Linked DNA regions of Macaca mulatta. The protein of the gene in region 1 interacts with the protein of each later gene in a pairwise test. Links are inferred from orthologs where the notes say so. Each region holds a gene or a part of one and is shown on either strand. Other genes may lie near its edges. The genes, in order: TNIP2, STK11 and NFKB1.

What was found.
Region 2: the proteins of TNIP2 (region 1) and STK11 interact in binary tests that used the Homo sapiens proteins (3 or more experiments, as listed by UniProt). The link is inferred for Macaca mulatta from reciprocal best matches to the Homo sapiens genes TNIP2 and STK11.
Region 3: the proteins of TNIP2 (region 1) and NFKB1 interact in binary tests that used the Homo sapiens proteins (3 or more experiments, as listed by UniProt). The link is inferred for Macaca mulatta from reciprocal best matches to the Homo sapiens genes TNIP2 and NFKB1.

The regions. Positions count from the first base shown.
Region 1 is NC_133410.1:2,888,508-2,898,550, reverse strand, and holds part of TNIP2 (TNFAIP3-interacting protein 2), read left to right. Parts: intron 1-4,825; coding exon 4,826-5,116; intron 5,117-7,235; coding exon 7,236-7,325; intron 7,326-8,315; coding exon 8,316-8,564; intron 8,565-8,747; coding exon 8,748-8,867; intron 8,868-10,043. UniProt on the Homo sapiens protein: Inhibits NF-kappa-B activation by blocking the interaction of RIPK1 with its downstream effector NEMO/IKBKG.
Region 2 is NC_133424.1:1,891,622-1,901,452, forward strand, and holds the end of STK11 (serine/threonine-protein kinase STK11), read left to right. Parts: intron 1-655; coding exon 656-788; intron 789-863; coding exon 864-1,000; intron 1,001-1,495; coding exon 1,496-1,623; intron 1,624-2,217; coding exon 2,218-2,275; intron 2,276-3,239; coding exon 3,240-3,427; intron 3,428-3,889; exon of another isoform or gene 3,890-6,763; coding exon 6,764-6,957; 3' UTR 6,958-6,973; intron 6,974-7,803; exon of another isoform or gene 7,804-7,868; 3' UTR 7,869-8,348; downstream 8,349-9,831. Other genes in the region: CBARP (voltage-dependent calcium channel beta subunit-associated regulatory protein), read right to left, coding at 9,428-9,831. UniProt on the Homo sapiens protein: Tumor suppressor serine/threonine-protein kinase that controls the activity of AMP-activated protein kinase (AMPK) family members, thereby playing a role in various processes such as cell metabolism, cell polarity, apoptosis and DNA damage response.
Region 3 is NC_133410.1:111,952,064-111,962,106, forward strand, and holds part of NFKB1 (nuclear factor NF-kappa-B p105 subunit), read left to right. Parts: intron 1-2,818; coding exon 2,819-2,962; intron 2,963-4,248; coding exon 4,249-4,338; intron 4,339-5,507; coding exon 5,508-5,702; intron 5,703-6,872; coding exon 6,873-7,014; intron 7,015-10,043.

The DNA.
Region 1 (10,043 bases):
TTCCTTTTTTTTTTTTTTTAGACTGAGTCTTGCTCTGTCACCAGGCTGGAGTGCAGTGGCACGATCTTGGCTCATTGCAACCTCCATCTCCTGGGTTCAAGCGATTCTCCTGGCTCAGCCTCCTGGGTAGCTGGGATTACAGGCGCCCACCACCACGCTTGGCTAATTTTTTGTATCTTTTTTTTTTTTTGAGACGGAGTCTCGCTCTGTCGCCCAGGCTGGAGTGCAGTGGCCGGATCTCGCTCACTGCAAGCTCCACCTCCCGGGTTTACGCCATTCTCCTGCCTCAGCCTCCCGAGTAGCTGGGACTCTAGGCGCCTGCCACCTCGCCCGGCTAGTTTTTTGTATTTTTTAGTAGAGACGGGGTTTCATCGTGTTAGCCAGGATGGTCTCGATCTCCTGACCTCGTGATCCGCCCGTCTCGGCCTCCCAAAGTGCTGGGATTACAGGCTTGAGCCACCGCGCCCGGCCAATTTTTTGTATCTTTAGTAGAGATGGAGTTTCACCATGTTGGCCAGGCTGGTCTTGAACTCCTGACCTCGTGATCTACTCACCTCAGCCTCCCAAAGTGCTGGGATTATAGGCGTGAGCCACCACACCCAGCCACTTGCCTTGTTTCTTTCTTCCTTTCTTTTCTTTTCTCCTCCCCTCCTTTCCCCTCCCCTCTTTTTGACAGGGTCACTCCGTTGCCCAGGCTGGAGAGCAGTGCCATGATCATAGCTCACTGCAGCCTTGACCTCCCAGGCTTAAGTGATCCTCCTGCCTCAGCCTCCCAAGTAGCTGGGACTACAGGTGCTCGCCACCCTGCCTGGCTAACGTTTTTTGTATTTTTTGTAGAGACCGGGTTTTGCCATGTTGCCCAGGCTAGTCCCAACCCTTGGGCTCAAGTGATCCTCCCATCTTGGCCTCCCAAAGTGTTGGGATTACAGGCTTTGGGAGAATACGCTTCTGTTGTTTAAGACACCAAGTTTGTGGTACTTTGTTACAGCAGCCCTGTAAGCCAAGAGGCCATTGTGCCTCTTTTTTTTCTTTTTTAATTTTTTTTTTTTTAGACGGAATCTGGCTCTGTCACCCAGGCTGGAGTGCAGTGGTGTGATCTTGGCTCACTGCAAGCTCCACCTCCCGGGTTCACTGCAAGCTCCACCTCCCGGGTTCACACCATTCTCCTGCCTCAGCCTCCTGAGTAGCTGGGATTACAGGCGCCCGCCACCACACCCGGCTAATTTTTCTATTTTTAGTAGAGATGGGGTTTCACCGTATTAGCCAGGATGGTCTCGATCTTCTGACCTCGTGATCCGCCCGCCTCGGCCTCCCAAAGTGCTGGGATTACACGTGTGAGCCACCGTGCCCGGCCTGTGCCTCTTGTTTTTAAGGCCAATCCATAAGACTATGAATAGAGCTGTTGACACTTTTGTTCTGCGCGTGGAGCGTGGAGTTGTGGGTCCCAGCGACATGCTTTCCTGAGAGATGGCCGCCCCGTTGCTGACTAGTCCATGTGCTGTGCCCGTGTGTGTAGAGCCACAACTCCAGCACATACCTTGCTTTCTGGCCACAGTGGTCGAGGTGCTGTTGTGTCCTAAGAACTGTTACTAACTGGACAAGGCACTCAGGTAAACCAGCGCACATCTCTGCAACTTCAGAGCCAGGGACAAATGCCAGAACCTTGGGGGCTGGAGGGGTGTTGGGGCCCTGCATGCTGCTAAGGGGAGGATATGTGGGGCAGCCGTTGGCAGGGCTGGTCTGCCCCCATGGGTTGAGCATAGAGCCTGGGTCTTCCTGTGTCTCTGTATGGCCCAGTGATATTCCCATTTACTGGGCATCTGTGTGGGGCTGGGCTCAGTGTTGAGTACTAAGGTGGGAGGTGAGAGAGAGCCGCCCGTCAGGATCTCTGGGCTGTGGGCCTGCCGCCCTCCTGTTGGTGGGTCGTTTGCTTCTCCTGCTGTCAGCATTTGACCAGCGTAAGAAGGAGGCTCCGAAATCAGATTTTACCTGGGCACAGTGACTCCTGCTGAGGCAGGAGGAGGATTGCTTGAGGCCAGGAGTTCAAGACCAGCCTAGGCAACATAGCAACACCCTGTCTGTATTGAAAAAAAAAACAGAAACAGAAGTCGGGTTTTGCCCCAAGTCTTTTATCCCTGAAGAGGGTCTCACTGTCACCCAGGCTAGAGTGCACTGACACCATCACGGCCCACTGCAGCGTTGACCTCGAGCCTGTGGTCCCAGCTATTTGGGAGGCTGAGATGGGAGGATCGCTTGGGCCCAGGAGTTCGAGGCTTTGGTGAGCTTTGATTTACTCTACTGCAGCCTCGGTGTCAGAGCGAGACCCTGTCTCAAAAAAAAAAAAAAAAAAAAAAAAGAAAAAGAATAATCAGGGTTCCTGCAGTAATAGGGCTTAGTATTTTGTTCCATTGTGATGAGAACATTCTAGGTTCCCGGTCTCTGTTTCTTCTCACCTCAAGTACTAGAGACAGAGGCTGGACCCTTCTGCCGCTTCTGGGGGAAGCTTGGGCTCCTCCCTGACTTTTCTGAAACTGTTTCTTCACTTGTGGGATGGACTAGTTGTGCCTGCTTCACCTCCTTCATGTAATGTACTGTTTATTTTGGAGGAGTCTTTGAAAATGGAAAAGCACAAATTTAAGGCCAGGTGTTAAAAAATTGTCAGGTCAGATGTGGTGGCTCTTGCCTGTAATCCCAGCACTTTGGGAAGCTGAGGCAGGCAGATCACTCAAGTCCAGGACCAGCCTGGGCAACATGGTGAAACCTTGTCTCTACAAAAAATAGAGAAATTAGCTAGGTACAGTGGCCTGCACTTGTTGTCCAACTCATTAGGGTGCTGAGGCAAGGGGATCACTTGAACTTGGGAGGTCGAGGCTGCAGTGAACCATGATGGCACCACTGTACTCCAGCCTGGGTGACAGGGCAAGCCCCTGTCTCAAAAAAAATTGTCATTTTAAGAACCTTTTTCATTTCTTTAAGAAGTAATTGGGGTTGGGTGTGTTAATTTCCTAGAGCTGCTGTAACAAAGTAACACAAACGGGGGGGGGGGGGTGCGGGGGGAGGGGTAAGCTTCCACCAACAGCAATGTAATCTTTCACAGTTCTAGAGGCCAGAAGCCGGAAACGAAGGCATCGGCTCTCTCTGAAGGTCCTAGGGAAGAACGCGCTTCCTCGCCTCTTCAGCTTCCTGTGGGGGCCGCCAATCATTGGTGTTCCTTGGCCTTTATCTACAAGACAAGATGTCACTCATATCTTTGTTGTCACATGGCCTCCTTCTGTGTGTCTGTCCAGACTTCCGTCTTCTTCTTAGGACACCAGTCCCGTCCTAATCCAGTTTGTCCTCACCTTAACTAATTACATCTGCAAAGACCCTATCTCTAAATAAGGTTTCGTTCCCAGATACTGGGGAATGGGGGGTTTGGTTGTGGACATCTTTTGGGGGTTGCCCACTACAGTGGAGTTTCTACCTTTCCTATCAAAAAAGTGCTTGGAATTGCCACTTTGATAATTTGATGAAAACTGCATGTAGTGGCTTGAGCCTGTAGTCCCAGCTATTCCGGAGGCTGGGGTGGGGGGATTTGCCTGAGCCTAGGAGTTGAAGACCAGCCTGGGCTATATATAGCGAGACCCTCATTTCAAAACAACATCTTGATGATACGAAATCTAAAATGATGTGCTTGCTTGTGAAAACAGAATTTGGCGGGGTACGGTGGCCCACACTGTCATCCCAGCACTTTGGGAAGCCAGGGCGGCTGAATTGCTCGAGTCCAGGAGTTCAAGACCAGCCTGAGCATCACAGCAAAACCCTGTCTCTACAAAATACAAAAATGTTAGCCAGGCACAGTGGCACGTGCTGTAGTCCCAGCTACTCAGGTTAGGATGGAGAATCGCTTGGGCCTGGGGAGGCCGAGGCTGCAGGGAGCCATGATTATGCCACTGCACTCTAGCCTGGGTGACAGTGAGACCCTGCCTCAAAAAAAAAAAAGGGCTGGGCATGGTGGCTCACGCCTATAATCCTAGTACTTTGGGAGGCCGAGGCGGGCAGATCACCTGAGGTCAGGAATTCAAGACTAGCCTGGCCAACATGGTGAAACCTTGTCTCTACTAAAAATACAAAAATTGGGCCAGGCGCGGTGGCTCACGCCTGTAATCCCAGCACTTTGGGAGGCCGAGGTGGGTCGATCACGAGGTCAGGAGATCGAGACCATCCTGGCTAACACAGTAAAACCCCATCTCTACTAAAAGTACAAAAAATTAGCTGGGCATGGTGGCGGGCACCTGTAGTCTCAGCTACTCGGGAGGCTGAGGCAGGAAAAAGGCGTGAACCTGGGAGGCGGAGCTTGCAGTGAACCGAGATTGTGCCACTGCACTCCAGCCTGGGTGAGAGCAAGACTCTGTCTCAAAAAAAAAAAAAATACAAAAATTAGCCGGGTGTGGTGGTGGGCGCCTATAATTCCAGCTACTGTGGAGGCTGAGGCAGGAGAATCACTTGGATCTGGGAGGTGGAGGTTGCAGTGAACCGAGATCATGCCACTGCACTCCAGCCTGAGCAACAGAGTGAGACTCTGTCTCAAAAAAAAAAAAAAAAAAAAAATTTTAAGATGAAGTTTCAGAACAGAACATTGTAGGCTGAAAAACTCCAGAGTTAATAGTTCAAATGCCCGACTTCTGAGTGAGTAATTGTTAGTTCAGATGCCCGACTTTGGAGTGAGTGTGTTTGTGTCTGGTGCTGGGGCATCCATGCCAGGTCTCCTTTTGGTTTCTGAACATTTGCTCTCAACACTGCTTCTTTTAATTCAGTAAACTGTGCTTTTAAATCTTCCACTTAGGAAATTGAGAGGCTGACTGAACGACTAGAAGAAAAAGAGAGGGAGATGCAGCAGCTACTGAGCCAGCCCCAGCACGAGCGAGAGAAGGAAGTCGTCCTGCTACGGAGGAGCATGGCGGAAGGGGAGCGCGCCCGGGCCGCCAGTGATATCCTGTGCCGCTCCTTGGCCAACGAGACCCATCAGCTACGGAGGACGCTGACCGCCACTGCCCACATGTGTCAGCATCTGGCCAAGTGTCTGGATGAACGACAGCATGCACACAGGAATGTGGGGGAGAGAAGTCCTGACCAGGTAGGCCACCGTGTAAGATTGTGGTGAAGAACCCTGTGTACTGGGAGCATTGCCTACAGGCCCCGATCACAGAGGCCAGGGGCTGTCCCAGAACCCAGTCTGTTCTCAGCAGCGAGAGTCAGCTGACGGGACAAAGCTCGCTCATCCAAGGGTTTCTTTTAAAATGATGGAACATGCACAGTGTAATAGGAAAGCAGGCAGCCACCGCACTGCCCAGCACCAGGCCTGTAGCTGACCCTGCTCCCAGGTGGGAGGTGGCACCTGGCTTTCATCTGCCTCAGCTGAGGATGAGGAGGAAGACATGAGGGTGGCAGAGCTGCATGGAGGAAGTGCAGTCACATCCTCCTCATCTGAGGAAACTGAAGCAGAGCCGGGTGGTACTGCTGGGGACAGGGAGTGCCTCCAGTTCCACACCCAGAACTCCCGGAAGGACCGTGAGTCGCCTTCTGCAGGCTCAGTGTGTCTGAGTGGATCTGGGCACAGCTGGAACCGCCATCTCCAAAGCTGGCGTTAGGCATGTCCTTGCCAGCAGCGCGACCTCCCACAAGCTTGGAGACCTGTCTCAGGGTCACAGCCTCCTCATCAAAGCAGGGGACAGCGGTGCCAGGTGACAGTGAGGGCCAAAGAAGGGTTCACTGGACCTCCAGGATAGGCTGGATCTGGGCTGTAGCTCTCTGTGGGGTCCAGTGGGAGAGAGAGGAACTGTGGGAGTTTCAGCATCAGGAGAAACCAGGAGGCTCCTAGGCAGAAGAGTAGGGAGCAGCGGCCACGGCATGTGTGTGCCAGGTGCTGTGGCCAGTGTGAGCCAGCCACCTTCCATCTCGCTGGTGCCCGTGGTGTCTGTGTGTGGCAGGCGGGGAAATGGAGGCACTCTGTGCACATCCCACCCAGGCTGAGGTGCCACCGCACTCGCACTGCCGGGCACAGGGCCTCTCGCTCGAGTCCTTTCTAGGCAGTTCTCTGAGGCAGCACCAAGGTTCATGCAGAAACACACACGCTGGGATGTTCTGCGTCAGACAGTACCTCCCGCACCCATCGGCAGCCTCACCAAGGCGCCTACTGGGGAGAAGCTTGGTCTGAGAACTGCCCACCTCAGCTGGGTGGATTCCAGGCGGGGAACCTCAGAGAGGACACAGCCGCATTCAGAAACCAAAGGAAAGTGCCATCGGGGCGGAGGCCGGTGTTCTGGTCTGATTTTGAGTCAGTGTGTCATTTCCCTCTGGGGAGTTGAAAGGAGCCACACACAGTGTTGAGCCTGAGGCGGGGGTGGGGCCAGTGGCAGCGTAGGCCCTCGTCACAGTCTCTAAATAAGTGTCACTTCTCAGCCCTGAACTCAGCTGAGTCACCCGGGGCTTCCCGGTGTAGGCTGCGTTAGGACATGCACTTCCTTTGTCACTCGGGGGGAATTCTCAAAAATTATGTCACTGATATACAGTCAGAATTCTAGAGTACACACGAGTTTCATGAGACTTTTCGTTCAGGTCTCTAGTTGTTAGTGGGGGTTGGTTTGGGCTGTGGCCTCCATGACTCCTGACCCTGCGTGGGGCAGAGGTTAGATTGCTGTGTCCAGAATCACCTGGTTGAACCCGATTGTCTGCAGACAGGACAGTGTCATGGGCTCCAAAGGAGGTAAGCAGGGTGCATGGCCAGGCCCACCCTGGGCAGCTGAGAGCCCCCTCGCTGGAGATCCTCTGGTTTACAATGGGATTCGGCTTCCTGCCCTCCCTGCTGTCTATGATAATGGCAAACCTCTGGCAAAGAGAAGACTTGATCATGTCTGGTGTGCCAATCCCTGTAGACATTATGACTTTAGAATATTTACATTCCAAATATTTAAAAGACAAACAGCTCAAACTGGTAGGTAGGATGGGATAAGGACGGTGTCAAAGGTGATGTGGCCTGAAGACCCTCCGTCTGGGCTCTGGCCTGGGCCTGGTAGGGGTGGGCCTGGGCAGGGAGAAGGTGGTCCCTTGTCCCTGCTTTGCTTCTCTACCAAATGAATGATCACTAACCGCTGCCTTGGGGGATGCAGTGATCATCTGTGGCCTCAGCCTCTGGGTCTAGCTTTCTCCCCTCTTGCTGTGACAGATTGTCTTCTCTCTGTCCCTTCCTCATGCAGTCAGAACATACAGGTGGGCACACCTCTGTCCAGAGTGTTATTGAGAAGTTGCAGGAAGAAAATCGACTGTTAAAACAGAAGGTGACTCACGTGAGTGTCTTTCACATTTTGTTTGAGAACACGCGGCTTACAAACTGTGAGTGAGGGTTCTTTCCTTGGCTGAGGCCCAGAGGTTGCCCCCGCCCTCTGGCCACTATGACTTGATACACACAGTCCCTAGAGACTGGACTTTTTTGCTTAAAACGACGTACAGGATATGTCCTGTCCGTCTCCATCCCCTAAAATTAATCCACAAGTCAGTAAAGGAGATGCAAGAATTAGCAGCAGGAGGTACCTTTTCTAAGACAGAAAAGCGAGGTGGGTGGATCACGAGGTCAGGAGATCGAGACCACGGTGAAACCCCGTCTCTATTAAAAATACAAAAAAATTAGCCGGGCGCGGTGGTGGGCGCCTGTAGTCCCAGCTACTTGCAGTGAGCCGAGATCGCACCACTGCACTCCAGCCTGGGCGACAGAGTGAGACTCTGTCTCAAAAAAAAAAAAAAAAAGGCCGGGCGCGGTGGCTCAAGCCTGTAATCCCAGCACTTTGGGAGGCCGAGGCGGGCGGATCACAAGGTCAGAAGATCGATACCACAGTGAAACCCCGTCTCTACTAAAAATACAAAAAAAAAATTAGCCGGGCACGGTGGCGGGCGCCTGTAGTCCCAGCTACTCAGGAGGCTGAGGCAGGAGAATGGCGGGAACCCGGGAGGCGGAGCTTGCAGTGAGCCGAGATCGCGCCACTGCACTCCAGCCTGGGCAACAGCGTGAGACTCCGTCTCAAAAAAAAAAAAAAAAAAAAAAAGCAAAGCTGCACCAAGTGCACCTCTGTTTATGCTGGTTGCGTACGGGTGTCATCACGGTGCCTCGGGATTCTCTAGTGGGCCTAGTGTCTGCTCTCTACAGAACAGGGAGGGGCAGCTTCCATTTAAGAGGAAACGCTCACTCAGCAAATCACTGCTGATGAATAGTCCCCCTGGGTGTGGCTTGAGCAGCTCTGTCAGCTGCCGTCGCCGTGAGCTTTCCGGCTCCACCTCCTCAGGTTGAAGACCTCAATGCCAAGTGGCAGCGCTACGACGCCAGCAGGGACGAATATGTGAGGGGGCTCCATGCGCAGCTCAGGGGGCTGCAGACCCCACATGAGCCCGAGCTGATGAGGAAGGAGATCTCCCGGCTCAACAGACAATTGGAAGAGAAAATAAACGACTGTGCAGAAGTGAAGCAGGAGCTGGCGGCCTCCAGGACGGCCCGGGATGCTGCACTGGAGCGGGTGCAGATGCTGGAACAGCAGGTGTCTGTCCCTCGGGCTCTGGACGGCACCAACCAGATGGCTGCTGGCTGGTGGTGGCCAAAATCATGGGACAGGCTGGGCTGAAGGCTTGGTGGCACTGAGTGGGCAGTGGTCATGGTGGGGGAGAAGCCTGGGGGGCACTTTCTCTTTGCTTGAGCAGAAATGTGTGTCTCGCCTCTTCAGATTCTCGCTTACAAGGATGACTTCATGTCAGAAAGGGCCGATCGGGAACGGGCTCAAAGTAGGATTCAAGAACTGGAGGAGAGGGTCAGCTCTCTGCTGCACCAGGTGTCCTGGAGACAGGTAGAGTCTGACGGCGTTTTTCTTCCTGCTTAGGTTTAGCGTTTTTGTTTTCCTTCTCATGAGTTTAGAGCCTTTCTGTGTCTGCCAAGGCCCTGATTTGCTGGTGATGAGGGTTGTGGTGGGCCCCTCCCTGCTCTGGGGAGAGCCACCTGGCCTAGTACCTGGGCGTGGTCATGGAAAGCTTCCCTGTTACACTGTTTAGTTATGGAGGAGGCTGGCATGGCGGCCTGAGGACAGGTGGCTGTTCTCAGGGCCCGTCCGTCACTGTCATGCAGTCAGAGGGCATGTCTCGGGCCTCAAAGCGTGAGCTCCATACATGTCCTGACCTGTCTGTGAGGCGGGAACCCTGCTTACCCTCTCACGTAGATATGATGGCCCTGGGTGTCCAGTAACATCCCCCAGCTCAGCCTGGCACGTGGAGCTGGGCCTTGCAGGCCAGGGGCCCCTCACTCCACCCCTGGGCTCAGTGCTCTTCCTACCATGGGGTACCTTGAGGGAGACCTGGCGTGAATGGGAACCAGTGAGGTTCTTCAGTGTATGACCCATGGCCTCTTCCTTCTCCTCACTGACGTGCTTTGCAAAACTCCAGAAGTGCTGGGCGCAGTGGCTCACGCCTGTAATCCCAACACTTTGGGAGGCCAAGGCGGGAGGATCATGAGGTCAGGAGATCGAGACCATCCTGGCTAACACGGTGAAACCCCATCTCTACTAAAAATACAAAAAATTAGCAGGACGTGATGGTGGGCGCCTGTAGTCCCAGCTACTTGGGAGGCTGAGGCAGGAGAATAGTGTGAACCTGGGAGGCGGAGCTTGCAGTGAGACGAGATCGAGCCACTGCACTCCAGCCTGGGCGACAGAGCCAGACTCGGTCTCAAAAAAAAAAAAATCCAGGAGAAGTTTGTTTATTTAGCTCCTCATCAAGTATCTAACACAATTTTGGCCCTGGGAATGGCCCTGGGCCCCACTCAAAGAGCTTCCTCTCCTGGCATAGCCTGAACAGTAGTGATACCTCTTGAGAAACGATGCACCCCGGGCTGGAGCTGGGAGGCCAAGCTGAGCTGCCCCGTGTTTCAGGGTGTGAACAGGGATCGTGGGGCTGTGAGGCCACCCCACTGCCCTGCTCCAAGCAGCCACTGGGCCTCAGTGGCTTCAGATTCTCTGCTTGAAGGGCACAAG
Region 2 (9,831 bases), on another chromosome or scaffold:
TTTGTATTTTTAGTAGAGATGGGGTTTCACCGTGTTAGCCAGGATGGTCTCGATCTCCTGACCTCATGGTCCACCCGCCTTGGCCTCCCAAAGTGCTGGGATTACAGGCGTGAGCCACCACGCCCCGCCCTGTGAAGGCCCAAGTTTTTAAAAACAGTTTTGGGGACTCCTGTGTGTGGTATCCACGGGCAGGGCTGCTGTCAACCTCCTGCCTCCATCTTTGCTGGGCCTGCTGCCTGAGGCCGGCAGCTCACCCCATCCCGTCCCAGCAGCCACCTGCCCCGACCGGACCTCCTGGTACAGATCTGTTGGCTGCAGAGTCAGGGCCCCTTGCTGCTGCAGGACTGCAGGGGCAGGGAGGGGCCTGCTGTTTCAGCAAGCCTTTGGGGTGCAGCCGGCCTGTGGCCCACAGGGAAATGAGACCTGTGGACATCCGGGGCCCTGCCAGACGTGACTCGGCCGGATGAGGGTGGTCACTGCAGGCGCAGGCCTGGCTCCCTACTGGACCCAGCTTTTCCTCTGTCCTGTGTGCCTGGACCTCCGTGACTCCCCAGCTGGGCCTGTGGTGGTTGGGAGGCTCCCAGGCGGCTGCAAAGGGGACCCCTGTGAGGAACAGGGAGGCCTCGGTCCCAAGACAGGTGTGTGCTGCCCGCAGGTACTTCTGTCAGCTGATTGACGGCCTGGAGTACCTGCACAGCCAGGGCATCGTGCACAAGGACATCAAGCCCGGGAACCTGCTGCTCACCACCGGGGGCACCCTCAAAATTTCCGACCTGGGCGTGGCCGAGGTAGGCACGTGCTAGGGGGGGCCCTGGGGCGCCCCCTCCCGGGCACTCCCTGAGGGCTGCACGGCACTGCCACAGGCACTGCACCCGTTCGCGGCGGACGACACCTGCCGGACCAGCCAGGGCTCCCCGGCTTTCCAGCCACCCGAGATTGCCAACGGCCTGGACACCTTCTCCGGCTTCAAGGTGGACATCTGGTCAGCTGGGGTCACCCTGTAAGTGCCCCGGCCCCGCCCCGGCACTCGCCACACGCACAGCCCGGAGGGGCCTCTGCATCTTGGGCAGCTTCTGGCCTGTGGGTGCAGGGCGTAGCCACCAGCCTAGACCCTCGCTGACCACAGCCACTGGGGGTGCTTACTTTATGGAGACGTAGCTCACACGGCAGATGGTGGTTCACCCATGTGACATGCAGCCTAGCCTGTCAGGGATCTTCACAGAGTGTCACAACCAATCCTCCTCTCAGAGCCCCACAGGAAAGCTGGGCGGGTGAGAGTGGCTCCAGGCCCCTCCCCGGGTGGGTCCAGAGGACGCTCCTCTCTTGCCCCATGGCTTCCACTAGTGGGAGGCGGTGAAGACAGAGGTGTCCTTGAGTCCGCAGGGCCTGTGGTCCAGCAGCCACGCGAGGGCTCCGTCCCTGGGGCAGAGGTGGGGCTCCCGGGGCGTCGACCACCTTGACTGACCACACCTTTCTTCCCTCCCCTCGAATGAAGCTACAACATCACCACGGGTCTGTACCCCTTCGAAGGGGACAACATCTACAAGCTGTTTGAGAACATTGGGAAGGGGAGCTACGCCATCCCGGGTGACTGTGGCCCCCCGCTCTCCGACCTGCTGAAAGGTGGGGGCCTCGTCCCTCTGCCCACAGCCCCAGGGAGGCGGGGCTTTTGTGCAGAAATGCAGGGTGGGGGGTGTTAGGTGGGGGGCTATTGGCCCTGAGACCCCTGCAGGCACTGAGAGGACTGAGCGGAGAGGCCGGCCTCCCACTAGGGCCTGGTTTGTGGGTCCCTCAGCTCCACCCTGCTTCTGGGCCCTGTTCACCTTTCAACTCCCACCCCTGAGGGCAGTGCTGCCCTGCGCCTCCCCCAGCCCCGCCCTCGGGGGCTCCCTGGCCTGTGTCAGGCTCGTCCTGCTGCACTTCCTGTGTGTGGGCAGCAGGTGGCACTGGCCGTCTGTCCGTCTGCCCAGTGGCCTTGGGAGAATGGAACTGCCCTGCCTGTCCAGCCCAGCCCTGTCTCCCAGGCAGGCACGCAGAGGCTGTCCCTGGCCTGTCCCCTGGAGTCGCCTCTGTCAGGGAGGCCATCTCAAGGGGGCCCCCCTTGGGAGCATCCAGGTATCACCTGGGGCCTGACAACAGAGGCTGGTCAGGTGGGGATGATTGGTGGGGTCTCGGGCCTGTGCCTGGCTGACTGGCTCCTCGCCGGCTTCTCCTCAGGGATGCTTGAGTACGAGCCGGCCAAGAGGTTCTCCATCCGGCAGATCCGGCAGCACAGGTGAGCGGCCCCTGGGGGCAGTGGGGCCAAGACCACAGGGAGGCTGGCCACGTGTGCAGCTGGTTGAGTGGGCACCAGAGCAGGGCATGGTGGGGGTGCTGGGCTGGGGCCAGACCCCGTGCAGCGCCCGCAGTTCTCAGGGCCCAAGTGGGGTCTCTGGGCAGTGCCCTGTTAGTGGCCAGACAGGCCTTGTCTGAGCTGGGGTCTGAGTGAGGACGTGCATCCGTCTCTGCCCTAGGCATAGAGACACACCGGGAAAGGCACAGCTGGCCCTGAACGCTGGCGAGAGCCCCTCTTTTTACCCTCCTCCTGGGGCTCCCAGCAGCACGGTCTGGTTGGGATCCAGCCAAGGGCACCCAGCTCTGTGACAGGGAAGACAGCAGGCCCCGCAGTGCGACCTCCCTCGCCTCGTGGGCTCTGCTCCTCTGCACCAGCCCCTGGGGTCGCTCGAGCCCCGAGGCCCCCCAGAGACCAGCTCTGGGAGTGGGAGTGTCCGGACCCCTGAGGCGCTGGTGCCGATCGTCCCTTGGGGATCTCTGCGTAGCTCAGGGGCAGCTGGGAACCGGGCGGGTGCTGGGGCTGCCCCCATAGGCTCCTGGGTTAGGATGTATTCATGGCCCCCCAGACCCCCTTCTGGCCTTTGCTGACGTCCGTCTGGTGGGTGCTGGCTTCTGAGTGCCACCTGGGAGACAGGCCTGAGGCTGGGCGTGGCGGGGGGTCAGGCCTCAGGGTGGAGGGGACATCTGTCAGGCTTGGAGTGAGGTCAGGGCTACAGACTGAGGTCCTGGCAGCCTGCCTGCTCCGGGAGGGCATGGCTGAGCGTCTGGTCACAGCCACCCGGTGCGCGGCCTGGTTCCGGCTCCTGAGCGTGCAGCAGGTACTCTGAGCACAGAGGAGCCAGGTTGGGCAGCTGCACCGTCCTGGTGCGAGCCTGACACGCACCACTGCTTCTGGGCGTTTGCAGCTGGTTCCGGAAGAAACACCCTCCGGCCGAGGCGCCGGTGCCCATCCCGCCGAGCCCGGACACCAAGGACCGGTGGCGCAGCATGACTGTGGTGCCGTACTTGGAGGACCTGCACGGTGCGGACGAGGATGAGGACCTCTTTGACATCGAGGACGACATCATCTACACTCAGGACTTCACGGTGCCCGGTGAGTCTGGTGGGGGCCCCTGCCCAGCCCTGCTCACTCGGCTGTGACGTCCCACAGGAGCAGGGCGCCTGCCTGTCTGCAGTGAGGACAGCTTCTGCCCTCTGGTGGCCAATCCCACGTCCCTGAAGCCTCCAGCCCACCTGCAGGCCGCCTCCGCCCTGGGGGCAGCTGGGACACGGCTGAAAGGCGTGGGGGCAGCGGGGGCACTGGCCAAGGCCTGTCTGGCCAGGAGGCTTCCCCAGGTGTCTCTCCGGGTGCTGCCTAGCCAGGCACCGCCCACCAGCCTTGGCCTGAGCCCCAGCAGGAGCAGGCGGGGAGCCCCAGGGTCGGGGGAGGGCGGGTGAGAGTCAAAGTGCAGGGTGGCCCCTCAGACAGCCGGCATTCGAGGGTCCAGTGGCCCTCCCTCCCACCATCCCTGAGGCCTGCCCGCTGGCCCTGATGCCGGCCGCCCTTCTTCCCCAGGTGGCGAGGAGGCGTCTGAGGCAGGGCTTAGAGCGGATCACGGCTCACAGAAGAGCGAGGGCTCAGACCTTTCAGGAGAGGAAGCCTCGCGGCCGGCGCCGCAGTAGTGCCGGAGGAGGAGCTCAGGGCCTTAGCATAGGGGCGGCCCGCACTGGCAGCCAGCCCCTCCCCGCCACGCTCCGGCTTGCCTCTGTTCCGCCTGGGGCTGGGCTGTGTCATAAAGCGATGTGCAGTGTATCTGCAGATGGATGCTTGCTGTGCTCGGCTGGAGCATGGCAGGGGCTTTCTGTTTCACTGTATCAGCATGAAGTGGTGGGCAGGGGCCAGCCTGAGAAGGGGGGTACACCAGGCAGGTTGGGATGTGAAGATCCAGGGGACAAGGACCACCCCGGGCCCGAGGGTCCCAGAATAGTGGGGGCCCTGCAGAGAGCCTCATCCCTCAGCACCCCCGTGCCCCTCAGCAAACCTCTAGGCTCAGCTCAGTAGCTGGTCCCCAGGAGGGTACCATGTGAGGACCCCGGGAGAGCACAGTGGGGGGCTCCAGGGGGTGCAGTGTGGGGGGGCTCCCCTGGAGGGCACAGTGTGGGGCCCCCGGGAGGGTACAGTGTGGGGGCTCCCCAAGAGGATGCAGCATGTGGGGGCCCCCCAGGAGGGTACAGTGTGTGGGGGCCCCCAGGGTCAAAGGGTCTCGCCTCCTGGGCTCTTGGATTTGTGGCACCGTGGCCGTCGCGTCTGTTGGGACGGGAGGTGCTGCTGGGCACCCTGGTCACTGGGGTGTGCTGGGAGGTGGGGTCCCCTCATGGCGCCCATCCTTGGGGCCTGGCTGCAATTTGACCCCAGGTCCAGGGCCTTCTGCCTTTCAGAGCTCTGGGGCCCCGAGACGGGCAGTCAGGCAAATCCCAGGCAGGAGGGCCAATTAGGGCAGGGCCAGCCCAGGCAGGCCGCCAGAGCCCTTGCTGGGACGTGGACCACACGCTGACCCTCACGGCCGCCCCTGCAGGCCAGGATTCCTGAGCCAGGACCCGGCACTGGCTTCCCTCCAGGCCTGTGTGAGACTGCCCTGTGTGGGCTGCCCTGGGGTGAGGTACCGGGGAGGAGGGCAGGGGTTGGGCCACCTTTTTCATGACCCTGCTGAGCCCACTGTGGGTGGTGGGAAGGAGTACCCGGCAGAGTGGGGTCCGCTGGGACCACTTGGCATGGCTGAGGCCTCGGTACTCGGTACTGGGTGCTCAGGTGCTGACGCCCTTTCCACTGCTCAGGCGCTGGGGACAGGCTCAACTTGAGGCTTCAGCGTGAGCCCCATCCCTGACCTGCAGAGCCCCCTTGCATCGGGGCAGGACAGCCCAGCGCCCTTGGGTCAGGGTGTTCTCCACACTAGGCCTGGGCTGCTGCATTGGCCCCTGCATGGCTCCACTTTGGCCTTGCCTGTCCCTACCCAGGATGGGGGTCCTGCTGCCGACACCCAGAACCAGGGAAGGGGCTTGGGGCAGGTCCTGGGCACCAGCGCAGACAGGCGTGTGGGGTGGGAGAGGGGACCGAGGGTCCCAGTGCCTCGTGGGGGCAGGGCCCTGGTGGCAGCTGTGCCACTGATGCAGAGCTAGGGCACCTTGTCTACCAGGTTGGCCCCATGGGAGTGGGCACAGGGTCTGCCCCAGCGGAGATGGGCTGGGTGTAAGACCTATGGGTGCCATTGATGCCTCCTGACCAAGGTGCTTTTTTTTTTTTTGGAGACAGTCTTGTTCTGTCGCCCAGGCTGGAGCGCAGTGGCACAATCTCGGCTCACTGCAACCTCCACCTCCCAGATTCAAGCAATTCTCCTGCCTCAGCCTCCTGAGTAGCTGGGACTACAGGTGCGCGCCACCACGCCCGGCTAATTTTTGTGTTTTTAGTAGAGACGGGGTTTTACCATGTTGGTCAGGCTGGTCTCAAACTCCTAACCTCGTGATCCACCCGCCTCGGCCTCCCGAGGTGCTGGGATGACAGGCGTGAGCCACCGCGCCCGGCCCAAGGTGCCTTTTTAAAGCCAGTGACTTCCTGTGCACACGGTGGGAGGTGTATGGCAAGTCCTGGAAGCTGCTGAGTCAGCCACCGGCCCCTTCTCGGAGCTGGGGCTCTGCACGGGGCACATGAGCTCTGGGGCAGCCCAGGGCAGCCTCCCACTGACGGCGCCTGGGAGGGGCCTTGGGGGTGGCTCGGCAGCCAGTGTGTTGGCGGAGTCCTCACAGACCACCACAGCTCCTGGCAGGGACAGCACGTGGGCAGCTTCCTGCACTTCCCCCGCCATTATGAGGACATTGTCCACCTGGGCAGGGTGGGCAGCCCCAGGCCTGTGAGTTTCACAAGACGCTGGTGCTGGTTGGTGGCCGGCAGAGACTGGGGGCGGCTGGGGGCCCTGGCAAGCTGAGCTCTACTCCCCACGTGGTTCTGTGCTGGCATTTCGCCTGCCTGGCCTGAGCCTGGCCCTCCTGTGTCCTCACAGGTGAGCATGTGGTGGCTCCACCTTTAGAACCAACCATGGGCCAGGGCACCCCAGGGGAGCACGGGAGGGTCCTGCCCTGTCCGCTTGCCGCCTACTCAGGAGGCCCCTGTAGACAGTACCTGGGTGGGGTCCCACCTGGGGCCGTGGCAGGTGCAGCAGATGGGGTGGAGGGGGCATTCCTCCCAGGCCATCTGTGGGAGGCTCATCCCCTGGGGGTGCCTCCCGGAGCTGCTGGGGGACAGCATTTCAGGTTGGAGAGACTTGGGCCTGACCCGGGGGTGGGCATGGCCTGGGCCACAGCTGTAAGTGTGTCCCTGTGCTGGGGGCCAGCCAGGTTCCTGCGGCTCTGGGGGTGCGGCCCTAGGCTCAGGCCACACTTGCCGTCTCCCTCCCAGGACAGGTCCCAGAAGAGGAGGCCAGTCAGAATGGACAGAGCCGGGGCCTCCCCAAGGCCGTGTGTATGAACGGCACGGAGGCGGCGCAGCTGAGCACCAAATCCAAGGCTGAGGGCAGGGCCCCCAACCCCGCCCGCAAGGCCTGCTCCGCCAGCAGCAAGATCCGCCGGCTGTCGGCCTGCAAGCAGCAGTGAGGGTGGCCACCTGCAGGTGGGGTGCGGCGGGACCCGGGCGGGGCATGTGGGGACACTGCAGGGATGCCACAGCCAGCCATGAGCATAGCCCACGCCAGTCATGGCGGCTGTCGAACGGCTGCGCATAGTTGCCATGTAGCCTTTGGGTAGCTTGGCCACGTAGCAATCCCCACTGAGGGTGGTATCTCCGGGCCTGGTGTCTGGCTAGCGTGCTGGTCACGGAGGCCTACGTGTGGCAGGACTCTAGGGGGTGTCGTGCCATCCTCACAGCCATCTCTCAGAGTGGGTGCATTTAGAGGACCCTGCCCTGGGCCTGGCACACCCTCCCCATGCATGGGCTACTCCCGGGAAAGGCTCACGTTGGGCTCAGCCCAGAAGCTTTTGAGGCATGAGTGAGTGGTGGGTGGTGGGGAGGGGCGGCGACCTCCATGGCCCTGCTGGGCTGCCCCAGGCTTTGAGCCAGCTGCCAGGTCTGGCTGAGGCTGAGTCGTGCCAGACGCTGCCCTGTCTCTCCGTGTGTGCCTGCTCCCTCTCCCAGCCCCAGATGTCAGAGACCCTTGTCACCTGCTGAGGATGCGGGGTGGATGGGAGCCCGAGGCTGAACCCCCTGCCTTGCCACAGCCCCTCTCCCAGGTTTTGGGGGTCACTGCCTGAGTTACGTGTCTATCCCCCAAATGGGTGCTCACAGCCCATCCACCAGCGTCAGAGCCTGCCAGACCCTACTACAAAAGGCTACACTTAATGTATCCCGGGAGTGACTCAAGGGTGGCCTTCCCTGGCCTCCCCTGCTGCCCCACTGGAGTGTGGTAGCCCGATGACTGCACCTCAGCTTCTCCATCCTCCCAGGAGCCCGAGGGAAGCGGAGAACCGGTACCCAGGCTGACCTCTTCCGTCCTCCCTCCTCCCTGCAGCCCGTGTCCAGGAGCCCCGCCAGGTGCCCGCGCCAGGACCTCAGTCTTCCTGCCGGTCCCGCCCGCCCTCCCGGAGAGGTGGCTGCCGTGCCTCTGTGCCGACCACGCCCCAGGACCTCCGGAGCACCCTGCAGGGCCGGGCAGGGGGACAGCAGGGACCGGGCACAGCCCTCCCCTCGGCCGCCCGGCAGTGCACGCTTGTTGACTTTGCAGCCCGGGGCAGAGCCTTCCCGGGCAGGCGAGGGAGGAGGGAGGCGGCCTCGATGCACTTTACGTGGAGACTACTGGCCCCGCCCGTGGCCTCGTGCTCCGCAGGGCGCCCAGCGCAGTCCCCGCCGCAGACCAGCGGGCGGGTGTGGAGACCAGGCTCCTGGCCCTGCCATGCATGCAGCACCGCCCGGAAGCCGCGCGGCCACTTTGGTTTTGTTTGGTTGGTTCCATTTTCTTTTTCTTTTTTTTTTTTAAGAAAAAATAAAAGGTGGATTTGAGCTGTGGCTGTGAGGGGTGTTTGGGAGCTGCTGGGTGGCCGGGGCGGGGGGGGGGAGGTGGTGCCGTGGGGTTGGGCTCACATCGCAGCTGCCTTTGCGCGCTCGGGTCACCCTGCTTCGGCCGCCCGGTCTGAGGGCAGGACCCCTCACCTCCCCCAAGGCCACTGCGCTCTTGGGACCCCAGAGAAAACTCGGAGCGAGCAGGAGTGTGCAGTCAGTATGTATAATCATCCAGAAAACAGAAACACGAGAAACGCCATCGCGGGATGGTGCAGACGCGGCGGGGGCTCGGAGGGCGTGGTGCGGGCGAGGGCGCCCGAATTTGGCAATAAATAAAGCTTGGGAAGCTTGGACCTGGCCGTCTGGGTTTTGTTCGCGTCTCAACATGGACGGGGCGGCAGCGGGGCGGGCGCCGTTCACATGCGGAGGGCAGTGGGGACTCGGGGGCGGAAGGGCCGGGCCGGCTCCCCCAGGGCCGGCGGCAGCAGCGGCGGCGGCGCAGTTATTGCTCGGAGGCGGCGCGGGCTGCCGCCAGCACACGCCGCGGTGAGGTAAACGGTCTCGGGGGTCGGCAGTCACGGTGTTGAGCCGCCTCCCGGCCCAGGGCGGTCAACTCGTCTGCGGCCCTTAGCGCCCCGCGGCCCCAACCCGGGCGAGCTCGCGCACGCGCCCGGCACGCGGCGGCTCCATCCGGCCCGGCGGGCTGCGCGTCCCTCGGGTGGCGCCCCTGCGAGTGTCTAAGCAGCCGCCCGATCCGGGACGGAGGGCAGTTGGTCGTTGTCCTCAGGAGCCCGAAGCTGAGAGCCGTTCACGCCCCTTCCTTCCCGCCCAGCCGGGGTCTCCGCGTCCCGCGCCTCACGACGCGCAGTACCCGGCAAGCACCGGCCATAGAAGTGCGCACTTCGACCGCGCGAGGGCGGCCGGGGCTCTGCGCGTGCGCCCTGAAGCGGCGAAGGGCCGACGGTTCCAGCGCATGCGCGTCGGGGCGTCGCGCCCCCACGTCTCTCCCGCCGCCGAGGCCCCGCGCGGCGCCGAAGAAGCTGCCAGAGAGATGGGCCCAGGACGCGGGACTTAGGCCGGGCTGTGGTCGGGGGACGTGGGAGCGGCGGCGACCAAAGAGGGAGCCGCCACGACGGGCTCGGAGAGGCGTGGCGGAAAGAGTCTCTCTTCGAGGCCGGCCGCCAGCTTGTCCAGCACCGCCCCGGGGGGTACGACGCAGAGGCCCGAACCGGGGCAGCCCCCGCCGCCCGGCTCCTCCTCGATGACGGGGATGGCGGGGTCGTCGCCGGCGCCGCCCAGGGTACGGCCGTCGGGCGGGCCGTCCACGCTGTCGCCACGCCGCAAGGGCGCACGCGCGGGTCGGGCCGCACCGGCAGGCGGCGCCGGGGTTCCGGCCAGGGCCGGGGCCGCGCGGGCGCCGGGGTCGCTGTGCTGCCGGCCGCGCTGCCACTGCTTGCGGGCGTGCGGGTGCGCGC
Region 3 (10,043 bases), about 110 Mb from region 1:
CAAGTGTTCAAGTGAAAGGAAAAGTCACACCTCTCACTTGAAATCAAAAGCCAAAAATGATTAAGCTCAGTGAGGAAGGCATGTCAAAAGCTGAGATAAGCCCAAAGCTAGGCCTCTTGTGCCAGTTAGCCAAGAATGCAAAAGAACATTTCTTGAAGGAAATTATAAGTGTTACTCTAGTGAACCCACAAATGATAAGAAAGCACAACAGCCTTGTTACTGATATGAAGGTTTTAGTGGTCTGAGTAGAAGATCAAACCAGCCACAACATTCCCTTTTACCAAAGCCTAATCCAGAGCAAGGCCTTAACTCTCTTCAATTCTATGATGGCTTAGAGAGGTGAGGAAGCTGCAGAAAAAAAGTTGAAAGCTAGCAGAGGTTGTTGATTCATGAGGTTTAAAAGAGAAGCCATCTCCGTAACATAAAAGTGCAAGGTGAAGCAACAAATGCTAACAGAGAAGCTGCAGCAAGTTATCCAGGAGATCTAGTTCGGAAAATTGATGAAGGTAGCCACACCAAACAGATTTTCAGTGTGCAAGAAACAACATTCCATTGGAAGAAGATGCCATCTAGGACTTTCATAACTAGAGAGAAGATGTAAAAATGCCTGGCTTCAAAGCTTTTAAAAACAGGCTGACTCTCAGGAGGTTGAGGTGAGAGGATCACTTGAACACAAAAGGTCGAGGCTGCAGTGAGCTATGATTGCACCACTGCACTCCAGCCTGGGTATTGTCTCAAAAAGAAAGAAAAGAAAAGAAAAAGAAAAAAGCTGACTTTCTTGTTAAGAGTTAATGCAGCTGGTGACTTTAAATTGAAGCCAGTGCGCATTTATCATTCTGAAAAATCCTAGAGCTCTTAAGAATTATGCTAAATCTACTCTGCCTTTGCTCTGTAAATGGAACAAGAAAACCTGGATGACAGCACATCTGTTTACAGCATGGTTTACTGAATATTTTTAAACCCACTGTTGAGACCTACTGCTCTGAGAAAAAAAAAAAAAAAAGATTCCTTTCAAAATGGTAGTGCTCATTGACAATGCACCCGGTCACCCAAGAGCTCTGAAGGAGATGTTTTCATGCCTACTAACAGCCATTCTGCAGCCCATGGATCAAAAAGTAATTTTGGCTTTCAGTCTCATTGTTTAAGAAATACATTCTGTAAGGCTGTACCTGCTATAGATAGTGATTACTCTGATGAATCTGGGCAAAGTAAATTGAAAACCCTGTGGAAAGGATTTACCATTCTAGATGCCATTAAGCACATTTGTGATTCATTGAAGGAGGTCAAAATAGCTACATGAATAAGAATTTGGAATAAATTGACTCCAGCCCTCATGGGTGACACTGAGGGGTTCAAGGCTTCAGTGGAGGAAGTAACAGCAGATGTGGTGGAAATAGCAAGAGAATGAGAAGTGGAGCCTGAAGATGGGACTGAACTGCTGCTCATGATTTAACTTTCATGGATAGGAATTGTTCCTTATGGATGAGCAAAGAAAGTAGTTTCTTGAGATAGAATCTACTCCTGGAGAAGATGCTGTGAACATTGTTGAAATGACAATAATTTAGAATATTCCTTAAACTTAATAAAGCAGCAGCAGGGTTTGAGAGAATTGACCCTCATGTGGAAGGAAGTTAAAACTGTGGATAAAATACCGTCAAACAGCATTGTATACTATGGAGAAATCTTTGTGAAAGAAAGAGTCAGTTGACAGACTTCAACAAATTTCATTGTTGTCTTATTTTTAAAAATTGCCACAACCACCCAGCCTTCAGTAGCCACCACCCTCATCAGTCAGCAGCCATCAACCTCGAGGCAAGACCATCCACCAGTACAAAGATTACAACCTGCTGTAGGCTCAGGTGATTGTTAGCCTGTTTTAGCAATAAAGTGTTTTTAATTAAGATATGTACATTGCTTCTTTTTAAGACATAATTCTATTGCACACTTAATAGCCTATAGTAGAGTGTAAACGTAACTTTTTTGTGTACTGGGAAACCAAAAACATCATGTGACTTGGTTTATTGCAGTAATGTGGAATTGAACCTTTCAATATCTCAGAGGCATGCCTGTATTAAACTTTCACTTCAGCCAAACTTATCTACTCCTGTTCTCATAAGCGCCCCGTGTACGTCTTTCCTTCATTATTGTTTTCCTCCATATCCCCTTCCCAGAACATCTTCCTTTTTCCTCCTCTTATATAAAATTGATTTTGAGAAGCCATTCCTGAATTTCCCATCCCCCAGTGACCTCCTAAAAGGTTTTCCTGAAACTCCTAGAACACTGATCTGCACCATGAATTTAATGTATGTAGTGTTATAGTGCTGTCTCACTAAGTCTTTCCCCCACTATCTTAAAATTATGTTGGAGGGTTCTTGACAGCAAAGACATTATGTCATGCTTTTTTTTATTTCCAACATTTAGCTCATTGTAGATGCATAATAAATGTTAACTTATTAACATGAGTTATTTTGTGTGACCAAGCAAAAGGGTCAATAATTTTTTATTCAATATCTTCAGTATCTTTTTGATGGACAATCGAATATTTCACTAGTTTTAACAACACTGGGCACTGAAGAAACTGTTGTAGAGTGGATTTGGGTGTGTACTGCTCTGTGGTCTCTTTGGAGCTAGCTTTCAGCATTCATACCCATTGGAATAAATATAATGCTTCTTGAAATTTAGCATCTCTTCCTCTTTGAGTGCTTTCTATTTCCCTTTAAGATGTTTAAAAATACCATTAGAATCAGTGGTCTTTCTGTGGCTAGTGGTGGGACCGAATCAATCTTTTCTCCTCTGGTTTCTCTTCCTTTAAATACAGATAAAGAAGAAGTACAGAGGAAACGGCAGAAGCTCATGCCCAATTTTTCGGATAGTTTCGGCGGTGGGAGTGGCGCTGGAGCTGGAGGCGGAGGCATGTTTGGTAGTGGCGGTGGAGGAGGGGGCACTGGAAGTACAGGGCCAGGTACAAAAACACCTATTCTTTCTAAAACTTTTTCATATTGGAGAGGGTAGAATTTTCTTTTCTTTGGTTTCTGAGTGTGTCTGTGAGTTGAGTGGCTATGATATTATTGAGTATATTAATTAAAATTTCCTGACAAATGTCAATTTATTTTTCAAAGAAATCTATGTTCATTTTACAATATGTAGGTAATCTCAAAAGCCTTTAAGAAGAAAAAAGGTACCCCAAAGCCAGTTTTTAATGAGTACCTCCCTAAACATTTTAGTATATTTCTCTTTTATGTTTTTTGATTTGGTTGTCTTGTTTTTGTTTGGAAACATTGAAAAAATTTTATATCATACATACCACATATTAAACATCTCTATATAATACATTGTAGAAAATTTGAAAATACATAAAATCTGCCAAAGGTTAACTACTACTATTTTTTATGTATATGTTATAGTAGATACTTATGAATTTTCCCCTGAATACAACTGTGATCACCATCATGCATTTTATTTTAATTCATTTATTTGTAATACTATTTTACTATCATTTGCACCATGACTGTATGTATAGAGTCATATGTGCAATGTTTACCTGAGATGTTAACATAAACATTTCCTCCAGTAATATGAACTTTACCTAAGCGTAAATTTTAAGCATCATTTTAATGACTCATTTCCTCAAGTGAACAAACCATAGAATAACTTACTTACATGTAGTTTCCTGTTTTCTATGTAAAATGCTATACTGAACTCCTATCCACATAACTTTTCATTTTATTCCAGATTACTTTTGTAAATTAGAGTCTTTGTAGTAAAGTTACTGTGTCAGAGGGCATGACATCTAATGCCAGCTGCTTCCCCAAAGAGTTGTACCAGCTTGTGCTTCCACCAAAAATGCCTAGGAGTGAACAGTGGTGGCCATTTTTCCATTGAGGAGTCAGTATGTTTTTCTGTGCTTTGTTTGATTTAGTTTTTTTCCTCAAGGGGTTATTTTAATGTTTTCTATGTAGGCAAGTCTGAGTTTGGTTGGTGACCCTCACTATTAGCCTCTCCCCTTCACATAGGAGTGGAGGCTTTCTCCATCGCAACCACTCCCCAAATCTGGGGTGCTGTCAGAGTTGCCAAAATGTAAACTTTATCAAAGTGGAATTCTGATGGTCCCATGACCCCCACCACGTGTGGGCACAGTACTGTCCTTTCACACCAAAGGCTGTGCTCACCTGACAGACAGACATTAAGTTGTGCTGAGTCTTGTAAAGTATCTTCATGATGTTTCATTTGTTTTACTTGCCATTTCAGGGTATAGCTTCCCACACTATGGATTTCCTACTTATGGTGGGATTACCTTCCATCCTGGAACTACTAAATCTAATGCTGGGATGAAGCATGGTAAGTAATGCTTTATTCTTAATACCAAGAAAGGAAAAAAATAATCCTAAAAAAAATAGATTTAAAAAAAAATTTTTAAATCCATCACAACAGTATTATTGTCTTGAAAAATAATTGATTAATGCAAATAAACTGAGAAGATACTTTTTCCAAAAGATATTATTTCCTGTGGCTAGTATAAACTCTGTTCCTTGTTTATATTTTATATATTTCCTTCGTAAGTGGCATGAACAGAGGAAAGAAAAGAGCATTGAAAAGAGATATACAGAGACCTGACTATTCAAACGTTTTAAACATCACCAAACTTATGTCTTCTGTCTCTCGTTTTCTCAAATAGTACACTTCTGAAATCATTTTGAGTTTTATAGGGTTTGTCTTTTCCCATCAAGTCATCACCTGAGAAGCTGCAGTTAAACCACGTGTTGATAGTTTACATTACAGGTCCATTCTAGTGTACCCATGGAAGAAATAATACTATAAAGAAGTCTTCCCATTTATTGAATACCTATTTTTGTGCCAAGTGCTTTTACATGTTTTAACTGTTATCTTCATGACTGCACTATATGGAAAATAGTATCTCCATTTTGCACACAAAAGACACCAAAGTTCAGAAATGTTTATACTCACTGAAGGCACACAGAAGTTAGTGGCAGAACAAGAATTTGAAGCAGGTCTCCACTATAAAAGCTAGATGCTCTCATAGTGTCTGTCAGATAACATAGTTGAACCTGAAAGAGGATGATCAGGAATGCTACACTGGATAGCTCCCATACTAAAGAATGTGAATTGACAACACGTCTTTATGACTTGCTTTGTTCATTAGCGTTAGGAAAAAACTGCTCTGCTTTCAAGAACTTTAAAAATTCAACTTTTCTGCAATTGACAGAAGAGCTTTATTTCATTTTTCTCCTTTACAAGTAAATAAGCAAAATGAGATCTAAGATTTTAGAAGTATACTAAAAATGGTTTTTAGAATTGAGTTTAGAGTATCTCCAAAACATGGTATTTATGATATGACCATTTTTAAAAGAATTTTAAATTATTATTTTTCTTTTCCTTTTGCAGCAAACTTGCCTCTTACCTTTATCTGACCTGCATTGGAATAGTGAATTATCACTAAATTAATACATTTTACTGAGAAAAATCTGATGTTTTTACATTTTTCTTAGGAACCATGGACACTGAATCTAAAAAGGACTCTGAAGGTTGTGACAGAAGTGATGACAGAAACACTGTAAACCTCTTTGGGAAAGTCATTGAAACCACAGAGCACAATCAGGAGCCCAGCGAGGCCACTGATGGGAATGGTGAGGTCACTCTAACGTATGCAACAAGAGCAAAAGAAGAGAGTGCTAGGGTTCAGGGTAAGTGAGCACACAAATTACGTTCTATTGGTTGGCTGGGGAGGGGTCAGTCCTAGGTGTAGAAAAGTATCTGCTAATCTGAAGATGACATATCAATATCTAGTTTAGCGTACTCTTCAAAGTTCTGTATGTCTTTGGAAGAGCATATGTCAGATCATTTTATTCACACTGGGATTTCCATTTTTGCTCTGTTATCTTTGAATGTAAAGTACAGAAATTTACATGTACATTCTCCAGTCACAATCATGCAGTTTTAGGGTATTGTGAGAGATAATCAACTTCTTTTCTGGCACAGATAGAGAAGTATTTCTACAAGCTTAATAGTCACCCTCTCTAGATTCTGGCTTAACCATCATACTGAAATAGAACTTTGCCTTAAAATAGGAACTTTTCTTTTTATCTTGTTGCCCTCTTTGAACAAGTAGGATTAGGAGAAAATGTACTTTTGCGTTTACTCTGAACCAATACTTATTAGCATATGTGTCATGATTCTAGGTCATCCTAGATCGTACTAAGAAGACATCTGTAAAAGCAATTAGAGTTGGTGGCCACATGTGGTATCTATCACATATGCCTTTTTTTTACACCCCTTTAAAAATGTATAAGCCATGATTAGCTAGGGAGCTATATGAAAAGCCGAGCATAAACAGGTTTTGGCCCAAAGGTCACAACTGCCATTCCCTGACCTTAATGGAACAAACTTTACAAAAACATGAGTGTTTCATGGAAAGTCTCTGTTTATGGCAGAGACGTGTGTTTTTTCACACATTGCCTAACAAGCTAATTGGTAGAGATCCCAATGAAGGATTATTTCACCAAGATATTGGTGATTTAAAATCATGGTAAAATCTAACATTGTTTGGAGATTGTTTTCCTTAAAATAACAGATAATGGTTGTTCCCTTAAAATAACACATTTCTAAACTTTTTCCTCTAACAAACCATACATAGATTCTTTAAGATCAATCTCTAACTATATTTGTCAGTGACCCAATGTCCAATTCTGCTTTTTCTAGTCAACACAATCCAAAAGCATTGAAAGAGCATTTTCAACTAAAATGATGTGTCAAGGTGTCAGAACACTGATGCTGGTCAGTTTGGCCTTGAGCATGCCATACCCATAAAACAAAAGTAGGAACACTCAACTATGATTGTGGTCATTGCCTTACAGATAACCTCTTTCTAGAGAAGGCTATGCAGCTTGCAAAGAGGCATGCCAATGCCCTTTTCGACTACGCAGTGACAGGAGACGTGAAGATGCTGCTGGCCGTCCAGCGCCATCTCACTGCCGTGCAGGATGAGAATGGGGACAGGTAAGTCAGGATTTTTTGCATGATAGGTTGTTCTGGGTAGGGAAAAAGAAGAGCATCATATAATGCATGCTGACTAGAGATAAAAATAATTGTTCAAATGTATTGAGTCCTCTAACTGGCACGATCAAGAAAACTAGTGTGAATAAGGTAAAGTAGCACAATTTGCTGCTCCATCCTGCTGCTGTCATCTGTTGGAATCTGTAGTAGCTGGAGGATTCATCTAAGAGTGAATCTCTCTGGGCAAGCAAACTAAGATGTGTATAGGTAATGGTACTTTTTGAAAAGCCTCGCTTTGTTTATTGAAATAATATTTGGAGAATTGTTAAGAATCCTACCAAATCCCTGAAACCTTGTTATCCCAGCTGCATATTTATAATGACAGTGTACTCAAGAAAAAGCTCAATAAAGGCAGCAACAACAACAGAAAGATTAAGAGGGACTGGTCATTCTTTCCCAGTTACTGGTTTCTTCTCTACTACCTCTTCTGGTGGTCACCAGTCTGTGACTGGTTCAGACTTTTGTGACTGCTCCAGCCCATGCGTGGGAGTCGAACATTCCAAACACCATGCCTTCCATTCCTGCTATTACTGAGATTGTATTTGCAAAGCCACCTGGCTTCTTTCTAAAACAGTTCTCTTAGTCCTTTCATTGAGACTTCTAAAGTATCTCGAAAGCCTATAAAAATAACAAGAAACAGCAGCCTTCACATTCAAGTCAAGTGCCTTATCTAAAACCTTCCTAAAATAGCATCAACACAGAGAAATCCTTTTCTGTGGAAGAGCTCTTGAGTGCTGTGTTTTAGACCTCAGTTTAAAAATTAAACCAAGCACTTTAGGAAAGTAACAACCTCAGGGTTTCAAGCAGAGACACCTTTGTTCTCGTTCCTTGCAACGTAACCAAGGATGTGGTATAACCACTGGCCTTGTTATACAGTATGAGAGGCACCAGTACAACCTTCTTGGTGTAAGGCCATGAACAGCAGAATGCTTTTTCAGGGTTAAATAATCCAGTTAGCATTCAATAGCATACAACCACAAGAAAAAGCAGTTAACTGAGACAGGATAGCAGTGTTTCAAGTGGCATTTCCAGGGACCTGTTGAATTGATAAGTCTAAGAAGATGAGCACGTGCAGGTTAGAAAGGAAGTGCTGATATCTGAAGGGGGGATTGTAGGAAGGGATACAAGGCGAGGCACGTGCAAGTTCCCTCCTAAGACCCAAGCACGCTCACACAAGCCGGCTCTCAGAGAGGCCACAGAGGTGGGACTTGGAGAGACCAAAGGATCCTCAGAAGAGTGTAGGTAAAGGGCAGCTTTTGGCCATCACAGCCCAAGTCTCTTGTTTTAATTCAGTCCATCATATTTGGCTAATAGTCTGAGTCCTGTGGCTGTTAGTCATCATAGAAAATACAATAAAGAAAAGTATATAAAACTTCTGCTATTGGGGAAATTCCCGTAAGGGTGTGAGGATTTCAGGGGGAGGGGGAATGTACTTCTGCTATGAAATGCTGAGCTGCACATGGAAATTTTCGGGCAGTTTTAGAAGTATGACCTTTTTCTTGGTATATGTGCATCATGTCTATGTCAGAGTTTAGGCCCTTTTCAGAAGTCTTCTTCCAGTATCACATTTCAAGAAGCAATAGTGAAACCCTGAGATCATCCATTTTAAAATATTTCTCAAGTAGCAAAATCACAATTTAGTTTTTTAGGCTCTTCTGTGCCAGTGTTAATCCCAAGTACGATATACTTGCTATTGCTAAGGAAGAGGCTTGAGTAAAGTGGCACCTGATAGCTTATTTTAGAGAAGATCCAGCCTGTACCTCATGTCCCAGATGTAGTTTTGCTGTGAGATGCTTTAGTGTGCTCTGCACCTCAATCTGTCCATGCTCTGGAGTGGTTATCTTCTTAGACATTCATCTGCACGTCTTTAGAGCAGTGCACATGTATCCCCTATGCAGGAGGATTGCTTAAGGGATTAAGAGATGGCTTTGGAGTAAGACAGACCTTGGCTTGAATCCCAGCTTCACCACTTATGGCCCTGACTGAGTTATATGAGGCCTACAAGTCTCAGTTTCATTAGCCAAAAAGCGAAGATAATATTACCTACCTCCTAGGATTATTGTTATAATAAAAAGACAATATATATCAAATGCTTAGCATAGTCTGGTAAATCAAAGCTCCCCAAAAATAGTAGCCACTGTTAAAATGATTGTTATTGTTATTGTTTTGAATTTTAATAGTATGTTTTTTAATAATTAAAAGAATTATGCTTCTCTGAGTGATTTTGACACCACCGGTATGTTCAGCCTCGTTAGTGTAAGCTCTTAGGTTCCTTCTATCATTCTTATTTTTGTGCCCCTACTGCATGCTAGGGCTGTAAGATTGACTCAGACAGAACCTGCCCCAGAGATGACAGGACAGAGAAAGAGAAAAATATGTAGAAAACTGCAGTTGCATAACCAAGCAGTAAATTTGAGAGGGACAACTTGCTCCACCTAGGAGGTTAGGAAAGTATTCTCTGAGGATGTCAGGTTTGAACTGGAATATAAAGGATGGAGTAGGCATTGTTCAGGCAGAAGAAAGGAGCAAAAACATTCCAGGTAGAGGGAATATTTGCCAGAATGTTTGCAGGAGTGGCGGGAAATACAATCACTTTGTTTCTTCACAAGTTTACTGCAAGAATTTTCTTCCAGTAGTTAAAAGCTTTACACCATTCTCCCCTCTTGGGATCTAGAAAGATCTTTAAAAAGCCACCGCAGTGTATTTTGGAGGAGGGCAACAGGACTAGGTGAGATAACTAAGTTTTCTGAACAATTCCTAGTGCCAGGCATTCATTTTACATAAAATCTGTGTGTCAGGAAAAGTCAGGGGGAAAGGTAGAGGAGAAAACCACCCAAAGCCATAGTATAGAGGTAGAATTGGGATTTAAGCTTAGGTACTTCTGGGCTGGAAGCCTCAGTGTGTTTATGCATCAAGGGGTCAGACGTGAATGCTCCCAGAGGCCAGGCAGGTACCACAAATAACATAACAGC